Canis lupus familiaris: one gene and its partner. The protein of the gene in region 1 purifies or fractionates together with the protein of each later gene. This does not show direct contact. Links are inferred from orthologs where the notes say so. Each region holds a gene or a part of one and is shown in the gene's direction. Other genes may lie near its edges. The genes, in order: CNOT7 and TNKS1BP1.

The links.
Region 2: the proteins of CNOT7 (region 1) and TNKS1BP1 purify together in Homo sapiens (affinity purification with mass spectrometry; 4 studies listed by BioGRID and IntAct, counting the BioPlex papers as one, with this or other methods). This does not show direct contact. The link is inferred for Canis lupus familiaris from reciprocal best matches to the Homo sapiens genes CNOT7 and TNKS1BP1.

The regions. Positions count from the first base shown.
Region 1 is NC_049237.1:41,441,530-41,453,834, reverse strand, and holds part of CNOT7 (CCR4-NOT transcription complex subunit 7), read left to right. Parts: intron 1-46; 5' UTR 47-143; coding exon 144-260; intron 261-2,103; coding exon 2,104-2,297; intron 2,298-7,156; coding exon 7,157-7,318; intron 7,319-10,128; coding exon 10,129-10,273; intron 10,274-12,305. UniProt on the Homo sapiens protein: Has 3'-5' poly(A) exoribonuclease activity for synthetic poly(A) RNA substrate. Its function seems to be partially redundant with that of CNOT8.
Region 2 is NC_049239.1:39,296,488-39,308,792, forward strand, and holds the end of TNKS1BP1 (182 kDa tankyrase-1-binding protein), read left to right. Parts: coding exon 1-799; intron 800-1,120; exon of another isoform or gene 1,121-1,704; intron 1,705-2,430; exon of another isoform or gene 2,431-2,848; intron 2,849-6,348; coding exon 6,349-6,715; intron 6,716-6,949; coding exon 6,950-7,100; intron 7,101-7,195; coding exon 7,196-7,332; intron 7,333-8,089; coding exon 8,090-8,247; intron 8,248-8,341; coding exon 8,342-8,402; 3' UTR 8,403-8,414; intron 8,415-8,930; 3' UTR 8,931-9,374; downstream 9,375-12,305.

The DNA.
Region 1 (12,305 bases):
CTGGTTTTATTATTTATTATTATAAATTTGGTTTTTATTTTGACAGGTACAAAAATAAAGGATAAAGTATTTTATGAAACAAACAAATCTTCAATCAAGTATAACATTTTGATGCTTGGCATCTAGACTTCTGTGCCCTCACTATGCCAGCAGCAACTGTAGATCATAGCCAAAGAATTTGTGAAGTTTGGGCTTGCAACCTGGATGAAGAGATGAAGAAAATTCGCCAAGTTATCAGAAAATATAATTACGTTGCTATGGTATGCCTATGCTCACATCCTTAAGATGCTTCTTATAAAAGAGGAAGAGGGATTTTAAAAGCCCTGAATTCAACCCATCTAGTTAATATTTTAGGGATTAATCTAATTATAAAAAAATTTTATCAATGTCCTCCAACCAGAGACCATCAAGAACGCTCCTGCAATGTGACAAATTGGGTTTATTACTCATTACAGTGAGGGAAAATGCATGCCACTGTAATCATGGGATATTTCAGTAAGAGTGTTAGAAAAGACTTTTAGGATTTGGGCTTCTGTCAGGTGGTTTTAGGGAGGGATTAAGGAAGCAGGGCCTTGTGCAGAATTGGATGCTGTTGGGAAGCTGGGGTAATTCTGTGACAGGGTATCTTAATAAGTCTTAACTAGAATGAGAGAAGAATAGAGTGAGAATAAAGCTATAAAGAAGCAGCATTCACTTACATCAGCCAAGCTAGAAGGATGTTTGATCATTTTTGTGGTTAGAATAATGTTTATGTTTTTGTCTATGTTCAGTCATGATGACAGAGTGGTCTTGTCTGGTGATGAAGTATGAAACTGTTTATACTCAACAACAGATGAATGTTAGAACTTAGCTGTGAGTGCCAGGTCAGCTCCCAGCAACACTTAAGGTGTAACTGATAATACCAGATGAGCGCCCAAAAGCTAGGGAGCTTCTGCATGTCTTTTCAGAAACTCAGATCTCCCAGTAAAACTTTGTTGGTCTGCAATTTTTGTGTTGTTTTAATCATTGGAGTTGATGAACACACTGCTGTTAAGCATCTCTGCTTTTGCATATAGTATTCAATCTACCTCTACCGTCTATTCAGTTAATTATTTTGCTGCTTTACCTACTGTACCTTGTACATTTGTGGTAATTACCGTACTGTTTTCTAGATGTAAGCTCTGCAAGGCAAGGGGTTAGTGTCCTAGTCTACCTTTTCTCTCCCACAGCACACCTACCATAACACAAACATCCAGTGATGTGGTTGGTTGTTGAGTTGGACTGAATTTAGAGTTTTAATTTCTTTACCGTTTCATAGTGACTTGATATTCAGATTTTGTTCTTAGCTTCCCAGTTTGTTTTAAAATTAAAGTGATATATCATAGTATCATTTCCTCAATATTTTTAATGCAAATACATAAATGTGCTTCTGTGGGGAGAGGCAGGTTGAATGGTGAATATGTGAATATTTGAGTGTACCTAGATACCCTATTTAGTAAAGGTATACTTAACCCGTAATTAGAATTGAAGTATTTTTTCCTACAAAAATTTATAGTGATCATTTCTTAGATGATAAGGAGTGACATTAGAGATGTGATACTGTTTTACAGGAATAAGTGGGTATCATGCAATTTTTGATGATGTATAGATTATAGAGAGAGAACTATTTTACCCCAAGAAATGAAGAGGGTTTTGATGTTTAGACAGACTTTGTCTCAGAGAAATGATTGCAAAGCATGATGCATTTTCCATTCTTTTTAACCAGTTCCTTGGTTTTAACACTAGCATACTGTGAGCATAGTTTCACATACCCCTTGAGGAACATGAATTTATATTTTCCCCTCCCTTGGGAAGAGAATATTTGGTGCACTTATCATTTATTACTGATACTTAAAGTCATTAAGTTTAAGATAAGAAAGTCATTAAGTTTATTACAGTTTTATGCTTCTAAAAAGTGAAGTTCTTCATAGTTAAAAGGTAATTTGTATTTGAACATGAATGTGTAGAGCATTATCTATAATAGGATTATTTGACTTGAACTGAAAATTACATATTTATTCTAAGAATTTGTGAATTGTGGTTTTAATCATTTAGTAAATAATGAATCTTAAAACTATTTTACAGGACACCGAGTTTCCAGGTGTGGTTGCAAGACCTATTGGAGAATTCAGGAGCAATGCTGACTATCAGTACCAACTATTGCGATGTAATGTAGACTTGTTAAAGATAATTCAGCTAGGACTGACATTTATGAATGAGCAAGGAGAATATCCTCCAGGAACTTCAACTTGGCAGTTTAATTTTAAATTTAATTTGACGTAAGTGGGAAATAAATATAACCCAAACTTTTTTAGCTTAATTTTAAGAATTGATTTCCCTCACGGTGAAAAATGCTAACTGAATTTGGCACAGTTATCCTAGAGATACTTAAAACCTAATTTCAGAAGTTTAGATTTCTTCTTACGGGATGAAAGAACTAGGATAAAGAAGACTTTATATTCAAATACTTTGAATTTTGAAGATGTTGTTTGAAAAGTATGACTGCCACTTTTTTTGAAACCTGAAAAACTTTGGGTATTGAAATCACTTCTTGATAGAAAAAATAACCTTACGTTAGTTTTACTTTCAAACTTTGTTTGCAGTTTGAAATATATATATCTTTGTTGTAGTAATTATCCTTGTGAAGAGATTAATATATCTGACTCCAGTTTATGAGTAGATTACATGTCAGAGGCAGTAAGGCATTTCTTGGAAACTTGGGTGGATTTTCCTTTCAAGTCAATGTTACATAATAGTTACGTTTCCAATCAGCCCACAAAACCTCTTGTAACTTACATATATAGGAGAGGTAATGGTATCCTTGAACTTTATTTCTTTCAGATACAGTTCAGAATCTGAATTCTAAGTTAAGCTCATGGTTGATAGTTTAGGGAAGTTTAGAGTGTTTTTAAGTGAGGGCAGATTGTTTACAAACTGACTCTAAGGTGGGGAAATACTTAATATATTCTAAGTTACAATATTGCAGTGTCCTTTTATTTGACAGCTTGTACTTGTGTAATATCTTATATCTGGTTTAAAAAAATAGTAAAAGAAGCTGTGGCACAGTTAGCAGTAGTGCCAATGTAAGAACCTCAATAATGTGATATTTAGCATATAAGATCTAAAAAGCCAGGGCAGATGGTTTTAGAGAATAGTGTTATAGTACTGTGGCTTATAATTACATTGTATTTAGCCTCATTCTCTGTTTTACTTTGTTGGATTTCATAATGTATACTAGAATCTTGTAAAGATTCTGTACTCTCTATGTAAACTGGTAATAACCTTCTATAAGTACTACAGTACTGAAATACTGAAAAATGTCTTTTATCCTTTTCTCAAAAGAGAACCATTTTTAAAATTAGTTCTTCACCATTTCATTTGTTCCATGTTATTTTTTTCCCAAGTTGATCATTAGAACAATGTTTTTAAACTAAGATACTGTTGTGATATAAATACATGAGTAAAAGGGGACCCATCCATGTCTCCATTCTGGTAAAATTGACATTTTCCTTTGCTAGAAACATCTTTGTTATAGTAACAACTGCCTTATTATTATAATCTTTGAAAGACATTTTTTCTTATACAGAGAGGGCTACTTGTTACCAAGCTTTGCTACTATTTATACTAATGTTAATGTCCAAGAAGTTGTTTAAGGAGAAGGATATAGTAGAATGCACTATTTAAGTAGAAATGATTAATTGGAAGATAAAACTGGGACTACCTAATGTAGAGACAGTACGATGAATAGAATCTAGGTATTTTGAAGAAAGATGAAAATTGACTTTTTTCTTGAGTGCCCGGAATGTGTCAGCAACTGTGTTAGGCACCAGGGATAAATGTTGAGAAAAGTTGGTCATGGTTTATAACTTAATGTTCCTGTAACTTTTCTGTCTGCTTTCTATTGCCAAAGTCCAAAAATTAGAATTGTTAGATAACGATGAATGTATAGGAGTTCTCTCCAAACTGAATTTGGAATTGATAATGTAAAATGAAAATTGGAGTAGACTATTGAGGAGCTGTGCAAATTAAAACTATCAAAGGAGATGAGAACAAATTTCTAAAACATCAGTTTGATGATTGTAATAATTCTTAGTGTTTGAGGGAATCATTTTGATAGTGTAATAAAGGTTATAGGACATTGTGGGTTCAGTGGTAACTGAAAGGAAGCTGATAATCATTTAAGCAAAATGGCAGAGGAAAGAAATGGAGAATCATAAGTAGAAAGGACAGAATCAAACAGTGGGTGGTTTTGATTTTGTTTTTTGGGTCACGGACAGGCATTTGAAGGCTAAAGGGCACCTAAGTGTCAGGTATGGAGTTGCAGGCTATTTGTGTTGTCTTTCATATAGCCTTTGCAGATTTTTTGAGCACCTTATGTATTCTTGGTTTGAGTTCATTAAATATTAAGCTAGTTGACCATTCATACATTTGTGACAGTCTGTATTCTGGTTTGCCTTTTCTCATGATTTTTAGCAAAAACAAATATATAGCGTGTGTGTTTTAAAATGTAAATGTAAAATGTACAAACTATAAAATGTTTAACTTGTGTTTAAAAATGTGAATTTGTATAGTAGGCTGAGCTTATACTTATAGGTAGGTCGAAAAGTTGGGACGCCTGGTTGGCTCAGTTGATAGAGCATGCGACTCGATCTTGGGGTTGTGAGTTTAAGCCCCACGTTGGATGTGGAGCCTACTTGAAAAAAAAGTGAAAACATATTTCTTGAATTTAACATACTATTAAAGTTTGGTTGGTAATTTAACATACTATTAAAGTATGGTAGTAAAGTTAGGTTGGTTTCTGTTTTTAGGATATTATTTGAAATGAGCAGCCTTGTATATATCTGCTTTTTGGGAAAACCTTTTTTAGAGATTTGTACATGGCTTTCACTCCTGTTGGGTTATTATACCTGAATATTTTGCCACCTTAAACTTCAGTAGTTGATTAGTATTAAGAGCAGTCACTGCTGTTCTGAACAGATTGTTCTAATCAGTAAGTCAATCCCTACACCTGCAGCAATCCTTACATTTTGGACACAACAGTGTTTTCACTACTTTTTTGAGATTTGCATCCTCTAATATATTCCTGCATTTACTGAGATTTTTTTTTCCATTTACTAAGATTTTTGAGGGTGGGGAATGATTTGAAAACTTGAAATGGATTGGGAAATGGACAGTCTTGATTCGGAATTGAATTGTAACAATTTTGGAGTTTTCCTTACCAGCAGGAAATTTTCTTCATCCTATTTAGAGATTTATTAGCCTACCTGTATAGAGCTTTCGGCTTTCTCTTCTAATGAGTTGGGCATTATAACGCATGGAATTGGTTCCAAATTTTAAAATATTTCCTCCAAAGAAATTTAAATGACAGTATATTAGCTTACGCTGCATTGAGTTATGTAAACTATGCAGAAAAAAGAGAAAGAAGTAATTTATCCTCCCCTTTTTTTAACCAAACTTGTTGATCATCGAATGCCTGAAGTACTTATCCAGGTCTTTCTTCTGGATATTGTGATTCAGTAGGTCTAGGCATAGGACCTGGGATTCCATATTTTTGATAAGCTCTCTGGATGATTCCTGTTACTGTTCTACCTCACATGTTTTTTGGCATGGTGATAGACATTAAACAAAATAGACAAAAATCATTGCCCTCTTAAAGCTTACATTCTGATTGAGAGTGTACTGTAATAAAGATTAAGTGAGCATATGGCCCAGAATAATGTGAGCCTAGAGAAAGAATCTGTTATGCTTTGGGTTGGTTATAATTTGCTAAAGTATGCCTCCCAGTGTGGGTATCAGAGCCTGGTGAGTGAAACTTGCTGTTTAAGATACATATTTTTAGTGTAATAAGGCTAATAATATCTGTTGTTTAATGAAAAAAACTTAGATTTATTCAGATATCTTTCCTAAAGGGTTTTTCTGTGGGGAGTTTTGGTCTAAAGTGATGATTGTAGTTCCCCTCTATTTTCTCAAATGTTTCAGAGGCTAGTTGTTTTGTTTTTTTTTTTAATTTTTACATTAAGGTACAGTTTATATACAATGTTATATTAGTTTCAGGTGCATAAGGTTCCATACATTGTGTAGTGTTCACCACAATAAATGTATTTACCATCTGGTGTCATAGAGCATTACGTTTTGTTATTTTTCAAAGACATCTAGAAGCAGACTGATGTCCAGAGAATAGACCTTAAGAATACTTTTTTACTTAAAATGTTTCTTTTGGTTTAGTTATATTGTGGCTTTTAATAGAGTTTTCTATTGCCAAGTGGTGGAAATTAATATTCTTGCAATTTAAAAAGTAAATGAAAATACAATGGGCAGTGCACAAAATACTTCTCATGTATTCTCAGAAACCTATACCTTTGTTTTGATCCTTTTTTAATTTAACATTTTGGATTCCTGTGTGTGCTTAGAAATTAGGGCTTGCTTTTTTGCCTTAAGTAAAATCTTGAAGGACTGGTTTATATTTAGATTTCCTGGTTTGACTTTTGGAAGGTGATTTTCTAGGATTAAGATTGTTAGAAGAAATTATTGCTGTTATAGCAAAGGCTTTCATTTTAAGCATGTTACTGGTTATTGGAGCCATTTGAAAGGCTCATCATTAGTGAGAGGAGGAATCTCCCTTTTTCTTTAGGATGGAATGTAGTTTCACTTAGCCACATCAGATGTTTTCTCCAGCTTCTTCCTGGAGCTGCTGGGAGATGGGAGATGTATATAGGCTGTCACCCCAGTGGCTACAGCTCCATCTGGCAGCTATAAAAAGACTGCTGAGACTGAAAGCCCCTGGAAAAAACATGTCTTTTATTTTGTGGTGGTAGCCCCTGGTGAGTAGAAGACCCTTTTTTCAAACTCAGTTAAATATATCTAACTTGTGAAAGGCAAATGAAATTGAATCGATAGTAAAGCTTAAAATCTTACCCTTGGACTGTTTTTAAAAGATGAATTACTGAACAGTTTTCAAAAATAATAACCTTTATATTTAAATTGTATTTTCCTTCATATATGTGAAGCACTGGAATAATTGGACCCAAGCCAATCCTCTGTTTCGTTGTTTCTGGCACTGTAGTTGTAGATGTAAGTGGGAGAAAAACAGTTTGAAGTATGGCGCTTTTGAAGGTTGTCTTTCTTTTTCTCCTGCCAGGGAGGACATGTATGCTCAGGACTCTATAGAGCTACTAACAACATCTGGCATCCAGTTTAAAAAACATGAGGAGGAAGGAATTGAGACCCAGTACTTTGCAGAACTTCTTATGACATCAGGAGTGGTCCTTTGCGAAGGGGTCAAATGGTTATCCTTTCATAGGTAAAAAAGAAAAAAAAATTGCATTGAAAATAGCATTTGTGTTTCTGTTTCCTAGCTGCTTTATACTTGGTGTGGGTCACTGTTCGAGAGGGAACTGGCTGCCGCAAAACAGTCTCCTCTCTTAAGAAGCTAATGTTGGTCTGCTTAAGGGTTAATTTAAAGGTATGAGATTCATTTTTAGCCTATGAGAGAGACTGTATTACATAGTGGAAAAAGTTAAGCTGATAAAGTAGATCTTGGTTTAAATCCAGCAATGCCATTTGGAATCAATGTTACCAAGAGTCATTTAACATTTCTGAGCCTTAGAATTAAACCATTCATTCATTAAGAAAATATTTATTTAATATCTACCAATGCCAAGTACTGCAGTATAAGATTCTAGGAATTAAGCTGTGAGCCAAACAGACAAAAATCCTCATCTTCATGAAGTTTATATTCTGGTCAGAGTAGGCAATTTTTTTTTTTAAATGATGACATTTATATTGTGGTTTATTGGTTAGTAAGTGCAATGCAGTAAAAAACCAGAAAGAGAGTGTTAGGGGAGGGTAGAGGTTGTGGATTTTATTATTTTTTTTTTTTAAATAGAGTGATCAGCTGGCATTACTTAGGTAAATATCTTGTTTTAATGACCAATGATATATTTAGAGCATTTTAGTAAAAGACTTTACACACAGTTAATTCTCAACAAATAGTCATTTTTAATTCTTATTATAAAATAAGACTGGATTGTTGAAGAGAATTTCCAGAAGGGGAATTAGTTCCATTTTTTAAGAAGAGACTTCCAAATAAGACAGAGTTTTCCTATTTAGGTAAACTAAATTAAACTGGAAGCCCAGGGACTAAAAGTGGCCTCGGTAATTAATTTATTTGGCCTTCTCTTACGGTAATTAATTTATTTGGCCTTCTCTTAATGTTCTTACATTGGGTCCATTCCACACATTTAAAAAAAAAAAAGGAGTCTCCTGCATTTTCAGCTCTAGCCTCTGGAATGATTATAGTGAAGGACTGTTCATATTGCAAACTCTGGTGTAATACTAAGCAGTAATTTTTAAGTTGGTACCGAACATAGTAATTCTCACCTGTCATCTTTTCTCTTTGTTCTGCATTTGAGCTTTACTTCAGGAGACAAGACTGAAGTCTCTGTTAATTTGAGGAATGTTTTTTCAGTTTTTTGTTTTGTTTTGTTTTGTTTTACTTCCTGGTCATAATTAGAGAGCATCATCCTTGTCCTTTTGTTGTATAGGACTTACTTCATTCAAAAAAAATACTCTGAGCAAATACTGTGTGTTAGGCATTGGAGATATTAAGAGGAACAAAGGGCTCATGTCTTTTTAGAATGTAGAGTCTAAAAATTAGACTCCACTATTTGTCAAGGTATGTTTTATTCTAAATGCCATTTTAAATATTTTCTTCATATTCTAACCTATTTCTAGGAGATAAAGACTAGTTTAAGAAATTCATAAACCGGAAATTCTCATAGTCTTTTACTAGTAGTAAGCAAAAGTATTAATTTATATATAGTTAGATAGTAATTACTTCCTTGCCAATTACCAGAAATTTAAAGGTTCTGCCATTTATCGCGTATACCGTAGTGTGCTTTACCAGTCTTCAGTAGTAAAGCTTCTTTTTTCTTTTTAATATTAGAAGTAATTCTGAATATTAAATAGAAATTTTATTTGTATCCCCTCAAAAGACCGATTAATATCGTCTCTCATCAAATATGTACTGAGTTCCAGCTATGTGTAATAAAAGATTTTGAGATATTTTTTAAAGTGTGATTCCTACTTAGACTAGTGTAGAAAACAATACCTGCATTTTAAAGCATAGTAGGAGAAAACACCTTGTATAAGAAATTACTGGGAGTTAGGCTCTTTGAGGAAGGTGCCTTGTAAGAGGCCCTTGAAGTAAATAAAGGTAGACAGAGAAAAAAAGTTAATTATGGCACAGGAATGGAGGGACATATAAAGCTATGGGGAAAAAAACACTAGAGAGAGGAGATCTTGATCTGAAAGTGTGGGAGTTGGTATTTTATTCTCTGGATTTTAGTTCTCATTGTTTACTACTCTTATTTCTTCCATGTGCAGCATTTTCATTGGTATATCTTGAGGAGCCATAGGAGATAGGAACAGAATTTTGAGGGAAGAGAATGACTGATAAGATCATGTAAGGAAAAGAAAATACTTCCATTAGGGAATTACTCTTTGGGTTCTTTTTGTTTTTGTTTTTAATTTTTAAGTATTTTAATGTGGGGCTTGAACTCACAACCCTGAGATGGGAGACTTAAGCAGCGATCAAGAGTTAACACCCTTAACTGATTGAGCCACCCAGGTGCCCCACTCTAGATTTTTAAGCACATGACCTCTTTATGTAAAGTATGGGAAGAATTGTATTATTTTTGCCAATTCTGCTACCTTTTGACATTTTCAGCCAAGTTTCCATTCATATTTATTTTTCCATTTCCATAGTTATTTAAAATTTTTTGAGATATCTATAGAGTGGTTTGATATTCCTCTTAAAGAGTTCTTCCTTCAGAGTTCAGCAAAATAGTAATCTGTGACTGCAGGTTTGGGATGCTAGTATATTGATATCTGAATGATAGTGACAAGTTCTTATCACTCTTGGTAAGGTGATGGCATTTTCCCATTATCATAAACGTGTCTTTTCTCTCATGTGCTTTTTTTTTTTTCTTTTTTTGGTTGATTCCTTTTTTGACCTACAGTTATGACTTACTTATAATTTGTATCAGAAAAAAAATATTTTTTCACCTCTGGTATTTATGTGTCTCTATTCTATATTTAATTCTTTTGTAGTGGTTATGACTTTGGCTATTTAATCAAAATCCTGACCAACTCTAACTTGCCTGAAGAAGAACTTGACTTCTTTGAGATCCTTCGATTATTTTTTCCTGTCATTTATGATGTGAAGTACCTCATGAAGAGCTGCAAAAATCTCAAAGTAAGGCTTCAAGTGGCAGTTGGTAATCCACACTATTTAGACTGAGTGATAAGTAAGATCCTAGCCTGGGATGTTGTTTTAAGCCATATTTTAAATTTTATATTAAATGTAGTTACGTTATCTGGTTATTTTGTTGCATAAATAATTTGTAGGAAGTCTTTTTCAGAACTTCAGCATACATTGGCAATATAAATTCTCAGCAAAATTCATTTTTTTTTTTTTTTTTTTTTAATCTCAGCAAAATTCAAACCAAGAATCAGGTTTCTCATGACTGCTGGATTGAAAATCATAAACCTGAACAAAAATGTGAGGACTAGTGAGGCTCTCATGCACAGAAGTGCAAGTTTACACTGCCCAACATATGCACTGTCTATCCATGCAAGATAAAATCTGAGGTGGCCAGCAATGTACAGATGGTAGTCAGGTAGCAAACAGTTTCCTCTTCAGCTTGGATAAAAATTTTGTTCGTTCTAGTCATAGGATCACGTTCCTAGGATTATACATGGAAAGGTTTTTTTTGTGTTTTGTTTTTTTTTCCTGTTCTAAAAGATGTCAAGCAGTTAGTGCTATGGTAATGTGTAGTCCTGTCTGGGACAGTAGCTTACATTCTGATACTGCTAAATGCATATGTAATAGTTTATTATTTCTGAAAATTCTTTCAAAAGGAACGTTTCTTTAATAAGTAGAGTGCTCCTTCAGTTTGAAAACTAATCCACCCATGGTGGCAGACTCCCAAGGAATAGAAGGGCTTTATTTTTTTTTCAGATGTGTTTGTATAGAAGCTACAACTAAAAAGCACATTTAGGTAAAGTGGTTGCTTCATAGAACCTTCGTCAAGGTTGATCATGTTTTTTTATCAGGTTTTTAGAAGTACAAATAAAGTTCTACTTTTAGGAGATGGTAAAAACTCTAAGAGCTTTACTTTTAAGCAGAAAGAATATTGTAGGAGTTGAATAAGGAAACTGCTTTTGACAAATGAACTTAAAATCAGAAGCGAAGTAGTTTTTTGGCCGAAGTTTGCTTGCCTTACAACAAAATATGGTATATAACTGGGGAAATTTTTAAGAAAGATTACTTTGTGTTTGTAGCACCTAAAAGCAGCAGGATTGTATATAATTTGAAGAGACTTCTTAGCTGTGAGTCAAGTGAACTTGCAGTTGTAGTAGGATAGCCTTATTGCTGTAGAAATTGAGTTCACCTCCTGAAAGTATTACATGCTGAGAATCCATGGTCTAAATGTTTTAATCTGGCTTTAGAAGTGCTTTGTAGAATCTGACATGTCTCTACAATGACATTTTTTTAGGAACAGAATCAAATTACTGCTCCCTATGTGAATGATATTGGGAAATTTCTAAGTACACCAGATATTCTGTATATGCCCTGAGTGAGCTGCTTTGTCAAATTTAGGTTGAAGGCAAAGGTGCTTTTTGACCTATGGTCACTCATGCTGACTGCCCTTATTCTGTTGCTCTCCTAAGCAGCTGCTAATGATACCTAATCCTCATGTTATTTTTAGCACAGAAGTAAGCACTGTTTGTGCAAAGCACTGTTTCAAGCTGTGAATCAGAGGGCTAGTTTGCCTTAACAATTTAGAGAGGAATTTGGGTCTGTTTTGTTGTCGTCCTGTTCTTTTTTTCCTAACTTGCCTCCAGTTCTCCCTCCATTATTGTGCTTCCCTCCCTGCCCTGTTAACTTCTCTTTTATTCATTCTCTCTTCTTTTCTTTCATTGTCATTTCTTTGTGAAGCCTGGCAATATTAACATAAGCAGATCTCAGGAGTTGTAACTTACTCTTCTTAACAAAACCGTAATTAAGCACTTAATGAATTTTTAAGGATTTGGTTAATCGTAATAGCTTTATTTGGTAACAAATTTAGATGAAACTACTTAGAGATGATTGATGAGAAGCTTAAGAAAATTTGAGAATTGCCAATGGGCAGTTTTATGTTGATGGATGGATTGACTATGAATGTACTTGGTAAATGTTCCCTTGTAGATCTGTTCTCTTGTATAGGATCTGCTTCCCTTAAATC
Region 2 (12,305 bases), on another chromosome or scaffold:
TGGGCCTCAGGAACTTGGAGGTGTCCAGCTGTGAGGGTTCTGGGGTCTCGAGTGAGGCCAGGGAGGAAGCTGTGGGACACCTGGGCTGGTCAGACAAGCTGGGCCTGAGAGATGTGGACCTGGCCGGCCGTTTGGAGGCTGGAGGGTCTGAGGAGCCCAGGGGGTTTGGAGTCGGGGAGAAGGAGGACTGGACCTCTGATGTTGGGGTGAGGGGCAGAGATCTGGCTGGTGTCGGAGAGGTAGGGGGCCCCAGCCAGGCCAGAGAGAGTGGCGTGGGGCAGACTGACTGGTCTGGTGTGGAAGCCGGAGAGTTCCTTAAATCAAGGGAGCGTGGGGTGGGGCAGGCCGACTGGACGCCAGATCTCGGGCTGAGAAGCATGGGCCCGGGGGCAGGCTGCAGCCCCAGACAGCTTGGGGCCGGCCAGGTGGACTGGGGCAGCAGTCTGGGCCTGAGGAATTTGGAGGTGCCATGTGACCCAGAGTCTGGAGGTTCTCAGGACCCACGGGGATGTGGAGTGGGCCAGATGGACTGGACCCAAGACTTGGGACTCCGGGATGTGGAGCTCTCAGGGGCCCCGAGTGAAGTCAGGGAGCGTGGGGTGGGAGAGGTCAGCCAGTGCCCAGACCTAGGGCTCAGGGACAGCAGCGCCTTGTCCCCGGGCCTGGAGGCCAGAGAGCAGGGGCCTGGCGAGACAAGCGGGCCAGAGACCCAGGGTGAAGACCCCCCTGCACCTTCCCCAGAGACCTGCCCTGAGGACCCCAGGATGGAGGCTGGAGAATCCCCTGGCTTTGGAAACAGGTAAGGGAGCCCCATCCTCGTGTGGGAGGGAAGGGCTGGCAGCTTTCTAAAACATTGAGCCTTTTTCAGGAAGGAAGAAACTGCTTTCCCCGGGGAAAGGGGAGAGGAGGGTTTGGAAAATTGAGAAGGTTTGGACTGTGAATCACTGATTTTACTTTTTTAAAAAATTACTAATTTATTTTAAAGATTTTATTTATTCATGAAAGATACAGAGAGAGGCAGAGGCATAGACAGAGGGAGCCGCATGGGGGACTCGATCCCAGGACCCTGGGATCATGACCTGAGCCAAAGGCAGACACTCACCCAGTGAGCCACCCAGGCATCCCTACATTTTTTTAAATTGAAATGTGACACACATGCAGGTGATTTTTTTTTTTTTTTTGGTGACGATTGCGGTGTTTGAGGGACTGTTCGTCTGTTGCCCGTGCTTTCGGCTTCTGGGTGACGTATCGCGACTGTCCTGGAAGAATGGGTGTGGGGCCCATCTCTGAGTTCCGTTGTTGTGCACAGCACCTGTTCCCAGGTCTTGGCCCAAGGGTCTTCCCGGGCTAGGGAACGTGGATGCTTTCACGGCATTGGCAGGAGGACTGGACCCTGTGTCCAGTTGGCCTGGGCCGCTGCAGGTTAGGAGTGGAGCGGACAGAGGCGCTCATTCCTTGCAGAGACGGGGAACCTAGTGCTTCCTGCCTGCCCTGTCGTGAGGCCTGGAAGAGCAAACAGTTTAAGATCCTGAAGGTCATGGAGACCTGGCTTCTGACCCCGTGATCTTGGCCTCCGTGCACATGGTGACGGAGAGGGAACTTTCCAGAGGAATAGACCAGTAGTTTTACGAGCCAACCACAGCTTGTCCCAGGGATTTTTATGTTCTGAAAGTAGCTGACGTGATTTCACACCTGCAAGGGGTACTAAAAAGACATTGCGTCTGTTTTGTTAACATGTTCTGTTCATTGAGATGGGGTTTTCTTCTCTTGACTGCATAGAAGGTTATTTTTCTTTCTTTCCTTTTTTTTTTTTTTTTTTTTTAAAGATTTTATTTATTTATTCATGAGAGAGAGAGAGGCAGAAGGAGAGGCAGGCTCCCCACAGGGAGCCCGATGTGGGACTCTGGGGTTCCGACCTGAGACCTGAGCCAAAGGCAGATGCTCAACCACTGAGCCCCCCAGGCGCCCCCAAAGGTTACCTTTCTGAAGAAGCTGGAGCTTCTCAACGGCCAGTCCCAGTCGGGGAAGAAGGGAAGGGAGGGAGGTGTTGGATGGGGGCCGTGTTGTGAGTGGAAGGGGCTGCTGGTAGTGGCAGGGGGGTTGGGGGGAGGGGAAACCTGGAATGGTCTAGAGGGAACGGTGGGGGTGGGTGGGGGTGTTGACTGATGGGATGGGGAGGCACCAGGATTCAGGAGAAGGAGGGAAAGAGAGAGGAAGGTGGGGAAGCACTGGGGTAGGGGCTGCAGGGCAGGGGTGGTTTCACAGGATGGGGAGTTGGGGGCTCCTGGGATCTTGGATGCTGTCTCTGAGCCTCACCTTCTCACGTCCCCCCCAGGAGGCTTTACGGTTCCTAGTGCCCCGGGGTTGCTCTTGGTTTCTGTCACCCACACGGCCATTCTGCCGGGCCCAGCGCTCTGCTACCCATCTTACCTCAACCTTCACAGCTGCCCCCTTCTGTGGAAAGGGATCTGTACCATGTCCAGTTTGCACGTAGACGAGGGGTGTGACCTGCTTACAGTCGCACAGTCAGCAGTGCTGCTCTCTGGCTTCGGTGTCCGCATCATAAATGCTGTCAGGTGTGGTCACAGTGCTCGGGAGTCTCAGGCTGCCCATGAGCTGGGCCCATGGCCCTCCACCCTTCCCCTCTGCCTGGGTGGCTCTTGAGAAGGGGAAAGAGGGGAGTATCTTTCCCTTGGTTCAGGAGAGGGGTGGGGGCTACTGGGGGGCCGCAGGGCCTGGATTGGGAAGAGGAAAGTAGGAGCGGAGAAGCAGGTGTCCTCAGCGCCCAGCCGGCTGAGCTTCGGGCTCTAACCTGCCTTTAAGCCGCTCTGGTGTTCTGTCTGTGTTGTCCATTTGGGAGACGTGGAGTGTTTGTGCACGAGCACGTGCTAGCCCGTGAAAGCACAGGCATGAGGAAACCTGTTCACTGCTCTGTAGCACAGGGTTTCGCAGACTTGACTCCTATCCAGGAAGTTCTGGGCATCTGACTTAGGGAAATCCTATACCCTGGAAAATTGCTCTTTGAAGGAAGTTTTGGAGGTTCCCCTGGGACGTCCTTGAGGCCAGTTCAGAGTAGTCTGGGTTTGGGTCCATCTGCCAGGTTTGAGTCCTGATTCAGCCACCACCTCTGTGACCTTGGGCAAGTTCCCTTCTCTCTGTCTCTCAGAGCCTCCTATTTCTTATGTGTACACTGGGAGTAATTTACACCCCACACTCACAGGATTGAGTCTCAGACACACATCAAGTGATAGAAAACTGCTTGGCATGTGGTAATCACTGAAAAAAATTCTTGCTAGTCATAATTGTATCCGTTTTGCAAATTTGGTTGGATCTGAGCTGTCTTGAGTGAGGCCCTTGGGGATGTTTTTGTCATTCACTCTGTGTGGGACAAAGGTACCCTTGATGGATTGCTGTCCAGCACAGTTTGACAGGACCAGAATGGGATGGCTGGGTCATAGGGGCAGCTCCTAGGTCACAGGGACAGGCCCCTCCTCTGTGTCTAGGGCCACCTTTTCCTGGTGGGAGTAGCTCTCTCGGGTCCCCCGAGAGCTCATGCACTGCCCCCTCTTCTCTGTGACCTCCTGGTCATCTCCTGCCCTTCCCCTGGGCCCCAGTGATATGGGGACCTCAGTCATTTTGGGCTGTTCATAGAATCTCCTCAGAGATCATTGAGGGCAGCTCCCTCATTTCAGTGGGTGGGGAAACTGAGGCCCAGGGAGGCAGTGTGACTTGCACAAGGTCCACGGCTGGTCATTACGGGCTCCCTCATGTTCCCTCAGGCCCCAGCCTTGTCATCCTCTCTCTGGGTGTGTTTCCTGTCTCTGGGGTCCAGGCCATCTGCTGCCCCTTTAGGCACATCATTCCAGCTGCAGGCCTGAGCCTCCTTTATTTTGGGTCTTGGAGCCTTGAATATGGGGAAGCTGGCTTTGTGCACATTGACTACATGCCCTTCCCTAGGCTCTGCCCCACAGTGGCGGTGGGGGGGTGGGGTGCAGTTGGACAGAGTCTCTTGAGGGTCAGGAGATGAGAGTCCTGACCCTCAGGAGACTCTAAGTCCAGATGACTCAGGGATGAGGGGTATAGCTGGTATAAGATGTGACAGGTCCTCAGGCCAGGAACCTGTGTTGAGGATGCTGATTATCCTGAAAGAATTAAAATTTAAAAAAATTATTTATTTAGAGACAGGGAGGGAGCAGGCATGAGCGGGGGGAGGGCAGAGGGTGCAGGGAGAGAGAGAATCCTCAAGCGGACTCCCTGCTGAGCTGGAACCTGAGGAGCCATCATGACCTGAGCCAAAATCAAGGGTTGGTCAGTCAACTGGCTGAGCCACCCAGGTGCCCCGATTATCCTAAAAATGTATCAAAACTTAGCACACAGTGGTGTGTGCTGGGCACACATTTCCTATGTGTTGCCAACAGACCCAGCAAAGTATAGGTCTTTTATTATCCCCGATTTGCAGATGAAGAAACTGAGGCTCAGAGTGGGTAAGTAGGCAGGTGGTGTACGGGCGGAGCCTGTAGCTGTGCCCACGGCAGCCCTCGGCACAGGCCTTGACCATTCTTCTCCTGCTTCCCTGCCAGGGCGGGGTCAGGTTGCAGGTGTTCTGGTGCACAGAGGCAGGAAGGCTTCTCTGGAGCTGGAGTTTAGACAGGCCGGCAAGGAGGATGCACACCATGTTCCCCAGTGCACTTCCCACCCTCCCTTCCTCGTGGCCCCCCCAAAGCCCACTCGTTCTTCCTCTGCCCTCTGCCCACGCGGCTGGGGTCCACGTGTTGGATGTGGATGTGGATCTTTCCATCCACCCATTGCTGTTCCACATCCCCTTGACTCTGCTGGCCTGCCCTCAGCCTGGTCTCTGCCCCACCCCAGGGAGAGGCGTTAGGCGGGGCCTCCTCAGGCTGGGTGGGGTGCCGCCACCGCCCCCTCCCTCCTGGCCTCCGTGATTTTAAGCTGCAGGGTGAGCTGGCTCTGGCCCCCATCCAGGGCTGCGCCATTCCCGGCCTTGCTGCACTTCTGCTGCCACCTCCGCCACCCCCCCACCCCCTGACCGTTTTTATTTCCATCTGTCAGCAGCTTGTGGAAGGACAGACTGACACACGTTCTCTCCTGCCCTCCCCGCTTCCGGCCTGGTCCTGACTCACCTGCCCTATACTCCTCCCCTTCCAGTCCCTTTGGGAACTCTCTGAGGCCTGGCTTCCGGGCACTGCCCCTGCCTGCCTTTCCCACGCCTGCCTGCCCGGCTGCTGCCTGTGTGTGTGTGTGTGTGTGTGTGTGTGTGTGTGTGTGTGTGTTGGGGTGTGGCTCTGCTGTGCTTCTGGGGGTGGGTCCTACATGTGCCTCGAGGGAAGTGTGTTGTGAGTGTGCGTAGGGTGTGTCCATATTTCAGGGGGTGGCAGCTGGCCCACACACCAGCTCCTTGTGTGAGGTATGTGAGTAAGCGTGTGTGCTGAGCCGGGTGTGTCTGTCGTGTTTTGAGGGAGCGGCGGGCCGAAGATGCACAGGCCGTATTGAGGTGCAAGGTGATCTAGCCTGTCAGTGGATGGCGAACATTTGCTAAATCCTCCTCCTGGCTGGGCCGAGCCCAGGTACCAGGGTCACAAAGGCCAAAGGGGCCGCCTTTGCCCTTGAGTGGTTCCCAGATGGGCTCTGAGGCAGGGGCTGGTGCAGGTGGGGGCCCCAGGCTCGCAGGGCTCAGGAAGGGGGGCTGTGGCTGGGGGTGGAGAGGGGCCAGCCTCAGAAGAGGAATGGACCCGTGACCGGGAGAGGAGCGCAGGGCAGTGGGGGAGCCTTCCAGGCCAGGGAACAGCTTGTGCACATACACCGCAGTCTGCAAAGACGGTGATGTGTTTGGGGGAGTCCCTGGACGTTCTGTGAGGCTGGGGTGCAGGGAGGGATGCTGCAGGGGCCAGTGCCTGGCTCGTCCCAGGGAGAGTGACCACCCAAGCAGCTGCCCCTATGAGGAGCACATGGACAGCAGTAATGATTGTGGTCAGTGCTGGGGACACGCTGGGTGCCAGGCACTGTGCTTTGTGCTGTGGTTCCCATTTCAGTCCCCAGCAACTCTTGGGAGTTAGAGGGTCCTGAGGCCTTGATGGGTGGAGGGACCTGTCCACAGCCTCAGTAAGTGGCGGACCTGGGATTTGAACCAGGCTGCCCACCTTGCCCGCTCTGTGCTGTACTGTTTGAGGCCCCGACCGTGTCCTTTCGGAAGGAAGGTGTCTGGGAAAGCATGGAGAGGCAGGAGAGGGAGAGCCTGTTGGAGGGGGGCACAATACTGGGAAGTGGGCTTTGGGGGAGGAAGATGGGGCCTCATGGGTGACCTTGTCCTCTGGTCTGTCTCCTTTGCAGTCCTGCCGGCTGCCCGGCCCGCTCCCCGCCCTCTGGCTCCCAGAGCCTGCTGGAGGACATGCTGGCCACCAGCAACTCCAGGGCGGCAGCCCGCAAGGGGTCAGCAGCCTCGGGCCCCAGGGGCCTGTTGGAGGAGGACGGAGCCACAGTGGGTGCCGACACAGGGGAGCCCCTCGAGCCTAGCGGGGCCCCTCTGCTTTCCTGGAGGCCGCAGCCTGATGGTGAGGCCAGCCAGACGGAAGAGGTGGACGGCACCTGGAGCCCTTCAGGGGTCGGGCAGGGCGCCCAGGGCCCCACACGGCCCCCTCGGCGGCCCCCTCAGGGCCCTCCGCCCCGCTCTCCCAGTCAGGACTTCTCCTTCATTGAGGTCAGTGCAGGGTGAGCCCAGGGCAGTGGTTGGGCTGTCGGGGGGCACATGGGCGATGTGGCCCGAGGCTGGTCCCTAGGGCTTCCCTGAGTGGCGTCAGCCCCCGGGGAGGGGGGGCAGGAGGCGGGCAGTGGGTGACCCTCTGAACGGGGCGCTGTAGGCTGCTGGAGGGATGCGCTGTTGAGGGTTCCCGTGGGACCGCAATGGCAGTGGTGTTGCTGTTGTCCCGACCAGGACACCGAGATCCTCGACAGCGCCATGTACCGGAGCCGAGCCAACCTGGGGCGCAAGCGTGGGCACCGGGCCCCGGCCATTCGGCCCGGGGGCACCCTGGGCCTCTCGGAGGCAGCCGACTCGGACGCACGCCTGTTCCAGGACTCTACGGGTAGGCCCCTGTCTGGTGGGGTGACGTCTGGGTCTGCGTGGGGGCGGTGCTCCGGGCTCGCCGTCGCGCTGAACCCCCGCTCTGGGCCCTTGCAGAGCCACGGGCTTCTCGGGTGCCATCCTCAGACGAGGAGGTGGTGGAGGAGCCTCAGAACCGCCGGACACGGATGTCCCTGGGCACCAAGGGGCTGAAAGTCAACCTGTTTCCTGGCCTGAGCCCGTCAGCCCTGAAGGTAGTGTCTTAATCGGCCAGCGCATCCAGCCCCTCCGGCCCCTAGCCCCCGAGTGCCTGCCTGGGGTTTCTTCTGTCCGTCCATCCATCCGTCCTTCCCTCCCTCCCATTCTCCTGTCTTCTGCTCCCCCTGAGGGCCCTGTTGGGTCCCGAGTGGGATGGGAGGAAGAACAAGGCATTCCTTCCCGTCCCAGAGTCCCAGAACCTCACAAGGCGAGGAGGACACACGCCCTGTCTCCTGTTAGCTCTGGTGAAGGGCCGAGCTGCAGGTGTGGGGTTGGGGATGTACAGATAAGGGCTGGGCCTCTTCTGGGGGTGGGGGCGGAGGGTCGGGGTGAGGTGTGACTTCTTCTGACCCACCGACCTGCCTGCTGGATGGGAGGGTGTATGGGGAAGGGCTCGTGGAAGTGCCGGATCTTAGCTTGAGGCGTGTGTAGAGCTGGCTGTGGAGGGCAGGGTGATGGGGAGGAGTTCGAGGTTCCCGAGGCAGAGGGAACCCGATGAACGGAGGCACAGGGCTCGGGAGGCACTGCCGGCTTCGCTTCATCCAGCCCAATTGTCTGGATTCAGTGGAGCAGAACCTTCACGAGGACCTTCCGTGCAGGGTGTGGCTCAGGCGACTTCCCGTCCCTCTGGGTTGAAGGACTGCAAAGGGGTCTGTGCCTAATTCTGGGGACGGCTCCTAAGAGAAGGCCTTGCCCTCTGAATCACCCTGCTCCTTCCTCTGACATCTGTCTGCACTTGGGCTCATCTCACAGGCCAAGCTGCGCCCCCGGAACCGCTCAGCTGAGGAGGGGGAGTCTGCGGAGAACAAGCCAAGCCAGAAGGAGTCCGCGGTGCAGCGTTCCAAGTCTTGCAAGGTCCCCGGGCTGGGGAAGCCCCTTGCGTTACCTCCCAAGCCAGAGAAATCCTCAGGGTAGGTGACCTCAACTGGCCTCGCTGGGTGGGCCAGAATTAACCGTGTTTATGTCCTAAGGTTTGCCTAATGACCTTTGCCCTGTGCCATCTAGGTCAGAAGGATCATCACCCAACTGGCTACAAGCCCTGAAGCTGAAGAAGAAGAAGGTCTGAGAAGTCCTCGAGGTAAGTGTGGGTTCCTGGGCTTGGCAAGACCTGCACGGGAGGGTTCAGGAGGCCCCCTGCCTTCTTCTAGGCCTTTCTGTCCCTCTTCTCTGTGAGCCTGGCAGCAGCCCAGGGGAGCCTAGCTCTAGGACCTGGTGGGTCCCTTGGTTCCCCTTAGATTTTGCCCACAGAATCCAGTGTTGTCCGGCCTGGGATGATGGGGAGGAGGGCTGCATCCTGGCTTCCTCTCTGGGCTCAAGGATGGTCCCCACGGGCCCCCAACCCCGTGCCCCAACCCTTCCTCCCTGGGCTCAAGGATGGTCCCCACGGGCCCCCAACCCCGTGGCTGGCCCAAGTGGGGTCAGCCTGCCCTTCTGGTATTTATTAGGCTCAAGGGCCCCAGGTGGGACCCTCCTCACCACGAGGCTCAGCTGGGGGAGCCAGGATGGGCAAGGGACAGGAAGCCAGAGCTGAAGTGGCTCCTCTGCCCGCCATGGTGTACCCCCTGACCCCTTCTTCCCCCTCCTCCCCTTGCAGGTCCTTCCATCTGGCAGTCTCAGGCAATGCCCATTCCTGTGGGGTCCCCGGCGAGGAGACGGCTGGAGCCCCACCAGGCCCCAGGCTGCAGCCTCTGTCCCCTCCACGTCTGAGGAGCGTCTGGGGAGGCACATTTATGCACTTTGTATCCCCCTGCCCTTCCTGACTCTCCCTCACTCCCTCCTGACCAGATTCAGGCATTAGTGGTTGAAGGTTTGGTCCCTCCTCCCTCGCTCTCGACACCCCCCTCTCTGCTTCCTCCTCCAGCCTCCCCCGGGTTTTCTTTTGATATCAATTTATAGCATTTTTTATAAAAGCCTTTGATTTTTGTAACGGGCGGAGCCCTGCCCCCGCCCAGGCCTCCCTCCGTCCTGCCAGGTGCCCCACAGAGACCAATAACATTTTGCCACTTGAAACAATAAAGTTTTTTGGGAATTGGTGCTGCCCAGGCTGTGGTGTGTGGTTGTGGCACCCCGACCCCCATGCCAGACCAGAGTTGGAAAGTGCTGGGCCTGGCCCCTGCCCACGGGAGCTCACCGTGCCACTGCCTGCTCCCTTTCCCGGTGCTCGGGGGCTCAGTGTCCCTGAGGAGGGGGTGTACTGCTGATGGGAAGCTGACTGCTGAGTCACACAACCCCCACATCTCAGGAGCTTGACACACAGGGTTATTTGCTGCTCACGGCAGTCTGGGGGGTGGGTTGGTGGTAGGGACGCTCTGCACCTCATAGTCACTTGGGAGCCAGTTCTTCCCTGCGGTGGCTTGGCTCTCTGCAGGGGCTCCGGAGTCCCCCAAGACACCCAGGGGAGAGTGGACGGAAGGTCTTTGGGGAGACCTTTCCCCAGGACCACAGGATGGGAGATTTCCATTGGCCAGAACTGAACTCAGGGCCCTTGCTAGCAGAGGGGGGGCATGGGTGGGTGGGTGGGGAGTGCCTGTGGTGGGAAATGTGGTTTAGTTGTGTGGCCACGGAAGACTGGGTGCAGGTGAAGAGTCAGCCTTCCTGCCGGTGTCTGACTTCTGTTGCTCCCTAAGGGCCCCTTTAGCCCATACATTCTGGAAGGTGCACGGGGCCCTGACCTCCTACTTGGCCTTCTTCTGTGTCATCCTGTGTTCCCCAGACTCACCAACCGCTTTCTATGAGGCTGGTTGAAGGGAGAGGCCCCTGCGGGCCTCGCCTTGATGGGGACTGAACTGAGCCGCTGAGGTCAGATACACCTGAGTTTGGAAATCATTGCATTCGCCAGAGCATCTTAGCTTTTTATTTTATTTTAGGGGAATCTAGAGGCTGTTGACCTAATTTGAGAATTTGACCAAAGCTGTGGATGCTCTAGAAAAATGCACGTATACATACCATACCCACAGCAGCCTGGAATTCCCAATGCGGACCTCCTAGAGCAGTGGTTCTTCACCTTCACCATGAGCACAGCCCCTGCGGTGCTATTTAAAAATGCACATTCCTGGGCCCCCACTAGGCTTCCAATCCAGTAGCTCTGCCCAGGAATCTGCATTTCGAGAAGCTCCCCTGAAGTAGAGGGGAAAGACAGGTGAAGGGGCCTCGGGCTGGTGCCTGGGTCTGTGCCAGGCAGCCCCCATGCCAACCCTCCCAGGGCCCAGCAGAGCCGAGCCGGCGTGAGCTTTGTCCTCTTCTCTCCCATTCTCTTTTCCTTGTAGGAGTAGGACTGGCAGGAGCCCAAGCCAAACACTTAAGACTCATTAGTGGGACAAATGGAGTCTGGGCTGTCCCAGTGCCCGGGCTCTGCTGGGAGGGAGAAGAGATGGGCCGGCTCCCAGGGAAGCAGAGCCAGATCTGGTGTGGGTGGGGGGTGTCCTCTGCTCACCCTCTGCCTGGAGAGTGGCTCAGGGCCTTTGCTGGGAGCCCAGGAGAGAGGGCAACCCACTCAGGCTTTGACCACAAAGGCAGGTGTGTGACAAATGCCACAACTGAGATGGTAACGTTCTTGTGCTGCCATTTCTCAGACCGAGCCTGGGGTTCTTGAGAGTCGCCTCAGACAGCTGGGTGGTGGTGGTCTTTTGCCTGGTTTTGGATTTTGGAGACCACTGAAAGTCACTTGGAGGCTTGCGTTGTGGGGATACTCTGGGCAATCCAGGAAGCTGATCGATTTTAGTCAAAGGTGGCTCTGAAGGCATTTTCTGAAGAGGTGAATGAGCTCTGGAAGAGTCGAGCGTACAGCCTCTCAGGCTAAAGGCAACAGCTCAATGTGTGTATGCAGGAATCCCCCCCTTTCCAGTCCTTTCCCTGCGTGTTAGGCAGCGGAGCTGTCCCTTCCCGAGAACCTTGTCCTGATTTCATCAAAGTTAGAAATGTCTCAACACTGCCTCTCCCCTCTCCCTTGCTTCTGAGGCCCTCACCAAGAGCCCGGCCGCATACAGATCGGATTCCTGATGACGGGGGAAGCCTTTGGGAACTGGACAGGAGTGGAGCCCAGGGGGTTGTCTCGCGTGGCCTCCCCTCCAGGAGCTGGAGTTGGTGTTCGGGGTCGGGCTGAGCCTGAGAACCAGCTGGCCTTCGCCGATGGTGCCCTTGGGATCTGACTGGTGATGCTGGGTGTTGGGCAGAGTCTTCTGAAGGGTTGCTGCCCACTTAGCTCTTCCTCCTTCCAGTGTCCTGTCCCCAAATGTGGTCCAGCCACGGGCCGTGGTCATTGCTGTCCCGAGGGGGTTTGAGACAGAACCCTGGATGTCCCCTTGGATGGAGCAGTAATTCCTCGTCCGACGGCCCAGAGAGACTGAAGCTGGTGGACGGGATGTCCTTAGGGCCGATTTGCCTCTAGAGTTTCACTGAGCCAGAAGCGGAGGCTCACCTGGGACAAGCCCTTTGGCCTCTGCTGCCGCTGCCCTGGCTCCCTTTTCCTCCCCGCAAGTGCTGATTGATCCAGGCAGGAAAAGCGCTGGCCGGTTTCAGAGGCACACCCCCTGCCCTGGGGGAGAGCCAGGCCCTCGGGGCTAGAGCCTCCTGAGCCCAGTGATAAAGTGGGTTTTAATCCCTGCCCGAGAAACAGCTCCAATTATACTTTTATTTACATAGGCTTTGTCTCCAAAGGGCCAAACACCCATTCATTCATTTTTTTTTAAGAAACAAAGTTTATTGAATTTTCTTCTGATGGCAAAAGCAGAACATTCATGGTTGACTACCTAGAAAACACGGAGAAGTAAGATTCAGAAAATTAGCCTGTGACATCGCCACCCAGATATACCTAGACTGCTAACATTTATCAAAAGAATACTTTTTATTTTAGGATAGATTTGGATTTATGGACACGCTGCAAAAATAGTACAGAGAATTCCACTAAACCCACGCCCAGTTTGCCCTAATTGTAATAGTTGATGTGCGTGCGGATGGTATGTTTGTTCCA